Linked DNA regions of Schizosaccharomyces pombe. The gene in region 1 interacts genetically with each later gene. Each region holds a gene or a part of one and is shown in the gene's direction. Other genes may lie near its edges.

Region 1 (3,591 bases):
GAATTCTATTAACATTTTTACACTAAAAGCTATTTTACGGTATATTTAGTAAAGGTAAAGAAACACAGCTATGAAAGTGCTGCCAAAAATTTCAATTGACGAAATCAGCCATCAATGGCTGTAACTATTGAATTCCATTGTCTTTCAACTTTTGAATTATCGCAGCCTACAACAAAAAATGAAATTAATCACAATCTCTTCAATCTTCATCGTTACAGATAAATATAATACATGCGAGACGTGTAGGGAAGAAGACCAAAGAAAGTAATTTTAGAGATAAATTCTTACCTTCTTTCTTCACTGTATCCGAAGCCTTCAAAAACTGACTAAACTATTTAAGTTGCTCATGCAACACAAAGTACACGACAATTATATTTTGCAAATTAGTAATCCTCACAATAATCTCCTTTAGTATAGGGGTAGTACACAAGCCTGTCACGCTTGCAGCCCGGGTTCGAATCCCGGAGGGAGAGTTTTTAACTAAAATATTTTTTAAATTACCATATTTAACAAAAGAGGATAATAATGAGGATATGCTAGTAAAATTTTACTATCGAACCTTAATGAGTCGAAGAAGCAAATACAATAAACCTTCTTGGAAGGTTGTATACATTGCTGCAAAATATCTCATATATTGAATAATGAATATGTTTCATTAATAACAATAAGTTATGTGTTCATTAAGACTCCGAGCTTAAAAGCTCTCGATTATGATGGCATGCTATGTCTTTACCACCATCTAAACTGGCTTAATCGAAACATAAGAATGTTATATCGATTGAAGTTGAGTTTTAGAAAATCAAGGTATCTTTTTTTCATCATCAGCTGACCTTTCAACCCTTCAATTTATATTTATTTGAAGACTATGCAAATGCTTTGTATAATAGCATCCATCCTTAGTTGGTGAGCCATTGGATATGATTTTATATATAAGCCAAAGTTACATTAATAACCTGTTAGTTGCTATAACAGTCAAAAAGTCATTGGCTTGGAAATCACGATGAACTATCTAACGAAACACCCAAGTCTGTCTTCAATCAAAAAGGGAGATGTATTGATGTCTATCCGTATCACCTGGCTCTTTTTTTACTTTCCAATGAGATTGTAATCTTTAATGACGGGTAGTTACTGTGATGAGGCTTTTATTTTTAATTTGAAGACGCCATCTGTAATTCATCGCCGCCGATCAGTTACTTGGATGCGAACAAAATCAGCAAATAATAGCTGCATATTCAGATATTTATCATGTATCAATTACACTTACGAATGCAACCCAATACTCGCCATACTTGCAAGCTTCCGAGTCCGAAACACTTTTATCAAATTTGAAATATGGCAATTTTATGTTAGAAAAGTCTCTAAACTTTTGTGGTACTATTGATCTTAAGTCTAACATTAAAAAATTAATTTTTTTGACGCTAATTGTCTTTAAAATTCGATCTCTGTTCAATATTAATGCTTGTGTCATATCATCAGACTACACTATTTCTATGCAAAGATTTATATAAAATGACCAGAAAAGCTTAAAAAATCAGATCCACTAATTTGCAACCGAAACTGGAAATATGTAACCGAAATTTGATACTACGGAGTTATGAACCCGGCAGCCAAAGGCAAGTTTGTTTGTAGTCACAAAAATGAAAGTCGAAAGATGGTAAGAATTTTGATATATAAAGGGGGCTCATAGCATGTTTCAGCATCAATTGAACATTCCACTATCGGTTCTGAATATTATTCTTAAGTTTCAAAATGGCCCCTGCTACTGCTGTCGTTACACCCCAAACTGCCTTCAAGACTGACTTGCCAGTTGAAAAGACTGCTCATAACACTGTAGTGAAAAGTGAAATGGGTGCTTTATCAAAGGCTTACCCTACTTACTCTTTGGACGAGTCATTTAGCTTTGCTCCTATTCGTGAAAGCACTGTAAGCCGTGCTATGACTCGTCGCTATTTCAGCGACTTGGATAAATATGCTGAATCCGACATTGTTATTGTTGGAGCTGGTTCTGCAGGACTTACTGCAGCTTACTACATTGGAACTCGCCGCCCTGATTTGAAGATTGCTATCATCGAGGCTAGTGTTGCTCCAGGTGGTGGTGCTTGGCTTGGTGGTCAGCTTTTTAGTGCAATGGTTGTTCGTAAGCCAGCTGATCTTTTCTTAAATGAAATTGGTGTTCCTTACGAAGATGAGGGTGATTATGTTGTGGTCAAACATGCCGCTCTTTTCACCAGCACTGTTATGGCCCGTACTTTGGCACTTCCTAATGTCAAACTTTTCAATGCCACTGCTGTTGAAGATTTGATTGTTAAGGAAGGAAAAGATGGTAAGCAACGCATTGCCGGTGTTGTTACAAATTGGACCCTTGTTTCCTTGAATCACGGTCTTCAATCTTGCATGGACCCAAACACTATTAATGCCCATTTGGTTGTTTCTGCTACTGGTCATGATGGTCCATTCGGCGCTTTCTGTGTCAAGCGCCTTGCCAGTGCTCAACTTGTTTCTAACCTTCACGACATGCGTCCTTTAGATATGAACCGTGCTGAGGACCTTATTGTAAAGGGAACTCGTGAAGTTTTTCCAGGAATGATTGTTGGAGGTATGGAGCTTTCTGAATTTGATGGTGCCAACCGTATGGGACCAACCTTCGGTGGTATGATGTTTAGCGGCATCAAAGCTGCTCAAGAAGCTCTTGCTATTTTTGATGAACGTAAGGCTGTTAATGAAAAGTACTTGTAAAGAAAATAGTGTACTAGCAACCTTTTGATATTTCTACATTTGTTTTAGTCATTGATTTTACCATTACTACAACGTTTTTTAATGCAATTTACTTATACTCAAAGAGATTCAAATACATTTACTTAACAGAATAAACCTGCTTTTCTCGTAGTTTTGGTTAGCTATGAGTTTTATGCCTTTTCACGTAGTTTTGTACAATATAATTGGCTAACGAAATATCACAACAGTTTAGAGTAAACTGTAAGCGAGATCTTGCGTTATCTTCTCAATTTCACAGATCGCTTAATATAATATTTTATATTGGATGAACTAACAAATTAAATAATAAAAGGCTATTTCTATAGGGAAGATATCAAAGTACTTTCATGTTCAACCATTTGCCCTAAATTATTGGAAATTAGTAAAACTCTCTAACAAATTATTAACGGTTTACATTGTCATATTGATTGTATTAATTGCATTTAAACCGGTTAAAAAAACTATTGATAGTATAATCGTAAGGACACATGCTTTAAATTGGATGCATCATATACATCTACTCTGATATTGCTGCGTATAAAGGTTTCGATGATATAGGTTAAAAATGTCTATTAAAATTGACTTGACATTGGCGAGCAATGAAATAAAGAAACTGCCATCGATTGACAAATCATTAATGCATACCGAAATAGCTCAAAAACATGGAAATCGAAAATGCCTATGTGATATGGATTCACTTCATTTCGTACTCAGCACAAAAAAATAGAATAAAAACTAACAGTCAATACCACTATCAAAGCTGCAACATCTAATTAGTTTGCAATAGTTACTTGCAACACGAATAGGCTACCGCGAATGGTATTGGATTAAAAAATT
Region 2 (4,899 bases), on another chromosome or scaffold:
ATTGGTAGCCTTTGGAAGTTTGGAATCTGGTTTAGCACTTAAAAATTCGGATATGGATTTGTGCGTGCTTATGGATTCGCGCGTCCAAAGTGATACAATTGCGCTCCAATTCTATGAAGAGCTTATAGCTGAAGGTAAGTATAATTATTCATTAAAAGTTATTCAGTTTAGACAAACTATCTCTGAATATTGTTTTTTTCCTTTCCAGTTGGCTCGCATAACTAACTATCGACAGGATTTGAAGGAAAATTTTTACAAAGGGCAAGAATTCCCATTATCAAATTAACATCTGATACGAAAAATGGATTTGGGGCTTCGTTTCAATGTGATATTGGATTTAACAATCGTCTAGCTATTCATAATACGCTTTTACTTTCTTCATATACAAAATTAGATGCTCGCCTAAAACCCATGGTCCTTCTTGTTAAGCATTGGGCCAAACGGAAGCAAATCAACTCTCCTTACTTTGGAACTCTTTCCAGTTATGGTTACGTCCTAATGGTTCTTTACTATCTGATTCACGTTATCAAGCCTCCCGTCTTTCCTAATTTACTGTTGTCACCTTTGAAACAAGAAAAGATAGTTGATGGATTTGACGTTGGTTTTGACGATAAACTGGAAGATATCCCTCCTTCCCAAAATTATAGCTCATTGGGAAGTTTACTTCATGGCTTTTTTAGATTTTATGCTTATAAGTTCGAGCCACGGGAAAAGGTAGTAACTTTTCGTAGACCAGACGGTTACCTCACAAAGCAAGAGAAAGGATGGACTTCAGCTACTGAACACACTGGATCGGCTGATCAAATTATAAAAGACAGGTATATTCTTGCGATTGAAGATCCTTTCGAGATTTCACATAATGTGGGTAGGACAGTTAGCAGTTCTGGATTGTATCGGATTCGAGGGGAATTTATGGCCGCTTCAAGGTTGCTCAATTCTCGCTCATATCCTATCCCTTATGATTCATTATTTGAGGAGGCCCCAATTCCGCCTCGTCGCCAGAAAAAAACGGATGAACAATCTAACAAAAAATTGTTGAATGAAACCGATGGTGACAATTCTGAGTGATTTTACAAAGAAGTCTTAAAAAGCGCATCAATATTCATTCCCCTAGATTCATAGTAATCATTCATTATTACTCTGCTTTTATTTGCTTACTTTTGAAAGCATGGAATGTTTTTATTTTTCTTTAAAAATTTTGACCTCTTGTTTCTAATACCTTTCCCCCTTTGTTTTATGTACAACCTCTTGTTAATAGTCTACTTGTTGGTGAGAAAATAGGCTCATCATAGTTAACATCAATGTCCAAAAAATTTTCATAGATCTATAATTAATAATTATTTATTGCAAATGCTAAGCTATTGTTTATATCAATTTCTTTAAATTGAACGGAAATAACCAAATATTTTTTCGTTTAGCCTCGGTAATGTGCGTAAACACATATAAAGAGTTTATCTTTTTTTCTTAATTACTATAGCGTACAGAAATTATTTTAGCTTATCAAATTTTTTCGTAAAATTCATATTGTTTCCAAATTTGTAGACGCATTGCAGCATGCTAACCATCACATTTGAACTTTTACCAAACATTCAGCTGGGTCTATTTCCCTTCTGTTCGTTGGTACAATTCATTAGAACATAATAAATTTGGCATTTTTCTCAAGGTGGGTATTTAACTATATTTCGAGATTTTGATGCTTTAAGCAAAAATGAGGATAACGAAAAGTCCTCCTAAAAATCAATATTCTCAGCCACCTCCTAGGGTTGCTGAGTTTATTAGACAAGCTCAAAATGAAGAAGTAACTTCAGACTTGGGTCTTGTCTCTCTTTGTTCAGAATTCAGAAAAAACGATTGGCCATATCCTCGTGGCGATTTGTATTCATGGGTCCCAGTTTTGAATAGGTTTGATGCTATTCTGGAACGTATTGTTGAACATTATTCTTTAAAGGATAAAGTTCAGACAAAACCTTTTGATTCTGACACTTTGAGTATCTTGTTAGAGATCCTGAGCTTTTCGGCGCATCTGCTTAGTCATTGCGCGAATCGCTCCATATATAACTCTACTGTTTATCTAGAGTATTTATTAAATAGCTCTGTGCTCGAAGTTATAGATTCTACATTAGCCTTGCTTCTTCATATTGTACAAAAAGCAACGATTTCAAAGCGAGGAAAGCAGCTGTTTTCTCTTTCACAAGATCGGTTATTTCGCTTTTTAATGTTTCTTCCTCAAGATGCAATGAAAACCGGATTTTCACAAAATTACGAGACTTTGTTATTTTCAAATGAGATCCCGCAAGAATGGTGTTCTTTGGAGCTTTCTTATTATAAAAGCTCTCCATCAAAAGATTTTTCATCTGCAAGTCAACCAAATTCTGAAGGATTTTCGATTTTAAAATTACCATATAATAAAGTTCTTGGAAAGCCTATAGAAGAGCTTCTTGTGAAAACTTTGCACGATAATCAGATTCCTGAACAATATTCATTTGATCTCCTTGTTTCACTAATGTTACGTCAAAATCTTTATGATATAAATAGACGGCGCTTGATGATTCGTATCGGATTATTGGCTCTTTCTAATCTTGTTTATGCTCATTCTCAGGCAGTTCAAACAAGATTTTTAATCGCCGATCCGGAAATCACCACCCATTTAGCTAATTTGGTTTCTCCAGATGTGGATCTTCCTCAAAACTTTAAAGCTGTTTGTTTTGAATGTTTTAAAGCTTTCTTCTTTAAGAAGAGTATGATTCCATCTGTACTGGCATCTTTAAATGTATCTGTTAGTTACGGATTAATGATGAATCTCGTTCGTGATTTTTCTAAAAACTTAGAAAACCCGAATTTCTATTACGAGAGAGAATATGTTGATAGTTTTTATGACTTCCTTCAATTTATGACTTCATCGCCTCTTGGCGGTAACATGGCCTGTTCTGCAGGTCTCACTTCTCTTTTGGGTTATCATCTGTCTGTGAAGACTCCACAGGCTACTTATGTTGTAGCAAGATCGATTGTCATGTTGGACCATCTCATCGATGGTTACTCTATGGCATTCCCAGATTTTTCTGAGTCTAAAGGATTGGATATGCTGGTTGACCGTGTTCAATACGAGCTTGAGGCTGGACTTCAAGATATTAAATCTGGAAAAGGTAACCCAGAGATTGTTTTAAATATGGATTATGCCATTTCATATGACCGTTACTTCCTTCTAAAAAATTTACTCAAGTTTGTGTTACATCTAATTCAATCAGGTGGCTCTGTCGTTGAGCTTCGTAATTTAATTGATTCTTCTCTCATTTCATCCCTTGCTTTTCTGCTAGAGCACCATGAAGTCTATGGCTCCAACTTATTCGCATCTACTACTAATATAATGTCAACATTCATCCATAATGAGCCTACTTGCTATGGAATTATTCATGAAAAGAAATTGTCACATGCATTTTTGGATGCTGTCAATCGGAAAATACTCAATTCTTCTGATGCAATAACATCAATTCCTTTAGCTTTTGGTGCAATATGCTTGAACTCTCAAGGGTTTGATTTATTTTTAGAGAAAAATCCTATCCCACAACTTTTCTCAATATTCACATCGTTAAATCATTGTAAGTCACTTATATCAAGCGATAATGCTGCCATCCTTGGTACTTACATCGACGAACTTATGCGGCATCAACCCTCCCTTAAAGATCCAATTGTGAAGATGATATTTAAAGCCTGTGACCAGGTTTCCGCTCTTCTTGACAATTTCAATCCATTTCAATATATAAATGCCAAAGAATATCCTTATTTGTTGTATCTTGAAACATTTTCTAGTTTTCTTGAAAATATTATTACAAACGAAGGTCACGCAAGGTATTTAATATCCAAAGGGATTGTGTCGCACGTGCTCAATCTCATTCAACATCCCGTACTGGCTTTTGGATTTATAGACTCTTCTGCCTTCAACTCGTTTTTTGTTCTTTTACATCATGCAGTTGATTTTGATGCTCCAGAGGTCTTTCGGCCCTTGCTAGACTGTATAATTACTCGATGTGAAGAAGGCATTACTGAGTTTACTATAGTCTCACTGAAACAAGCCACGATTTCATTGATAAAGGACTCAAATATGGGCCACGAAGATGCAAATAATTTTCTACATTTCTCAATCGTTGGGAATTTGCTGACTATTTTCGCTGAGCTATTTTCTTCCCATGCTGCATTGAAAAAAGCTGGAAATCTTCCATTAGTTCAACTTTTTATTAGTCCTTCACGTTATGCTGGTATTTTTGATATTTTATGTAATATTAAAAGCATTGCAACATCATTGGACATACATATATGTTTAGGTGTTTCTGATGACTTTGTTCTTTGCAGTGACTCCTTGACTACCATCGTTACCGACAAAGATGAAAAAGAAAAGTTTGAGACAAAGAAAAAGGAATTAACACAAGATTCATCTTTTTGTAAATTTCAGAATATACGTTCGAATTTTTCTCAAATTGCTTATGGAGTATCTAAGTTTTTCACTTCATTAACTCGAGCTTTAGGAAATACAAGCGTACAAGATTTCAATGAATACAAAATGATTCATAAACTTGGTAGTAATATCGCTCTTGTTGTTGATGAACTTATTAACTTATCAAGCAAGCAAATCACATCTCATCCGCAATCCCTCAGTATTGCTTCTTTAGAGGCCTCCTTAATTTTTGTTTTAGGTGCTTCATCCATAATTCGAGAAGATGATTCAAAGGTTACTCTTGTGCTTCTGATCAGTCGTCTACTGGGTGGGTGTCGAACAATGGATGTATTGATTAGCTTAAATGAGACCGTTTCTGGCTTTTTTCGTTTGTCCGATAGAGATCCTCTTTCCAAGAGTAATCGTGTTTTGCTTGCTCTTTCATCCACCTTATTGAACTTGATTCTTGT

What was found.
Region 2: mutations in thi2 (region 1) and ptr1 impair growth when combined (synthetic growth defect), as found in Schizosaccharomyces pombe (one study listed by BioGRID).

The regions. Positions count from the first base shown.
Region 1 is NC_003423.3:3,938,825-3,942,415, forward strand, and holds thi2 (thiazole biosynthetic enzyme), read left to right. Parts: upstream 1-1,701; 5' UTR 1,702-1,749; coding exon 1,750-2,736; 3' UTR 2,737-2,875; downstream 2,876-3,591. UniProt on the Schizosaccharomyces pombe protein: Involved in biosynthesis of the thiamine precursor thiazole. Catalyzes the conversion of NAD and glycine to adenosine diphosphate 5-(2-hydroxyethyl)-4-methylthiazole-2-carboxylic acid (ADT), an adenylated thiazole intermediate.
Region 2 is NC_003424.3:5,207,068-5,211,966, forward strand, and holds the start of ptr1 (E3 ubiquitin-protein ligase), read left to right. Parts: upstream 1-1,572; 5' UTR 1,573-1,708; coding exon 1,709-4,899. Other genes in the region: terminal uridylyltransferase Cid1, read left to right, coding at 1-134, 236-1,068. UniProt on the Schizosaccharomyces pombe protein: Probable ubiquitin ligase protein involved in mRNA export. E3 ubiquitin ligase proteins mediate ubiquitination and subsequent proteasomal degradation of target proteins.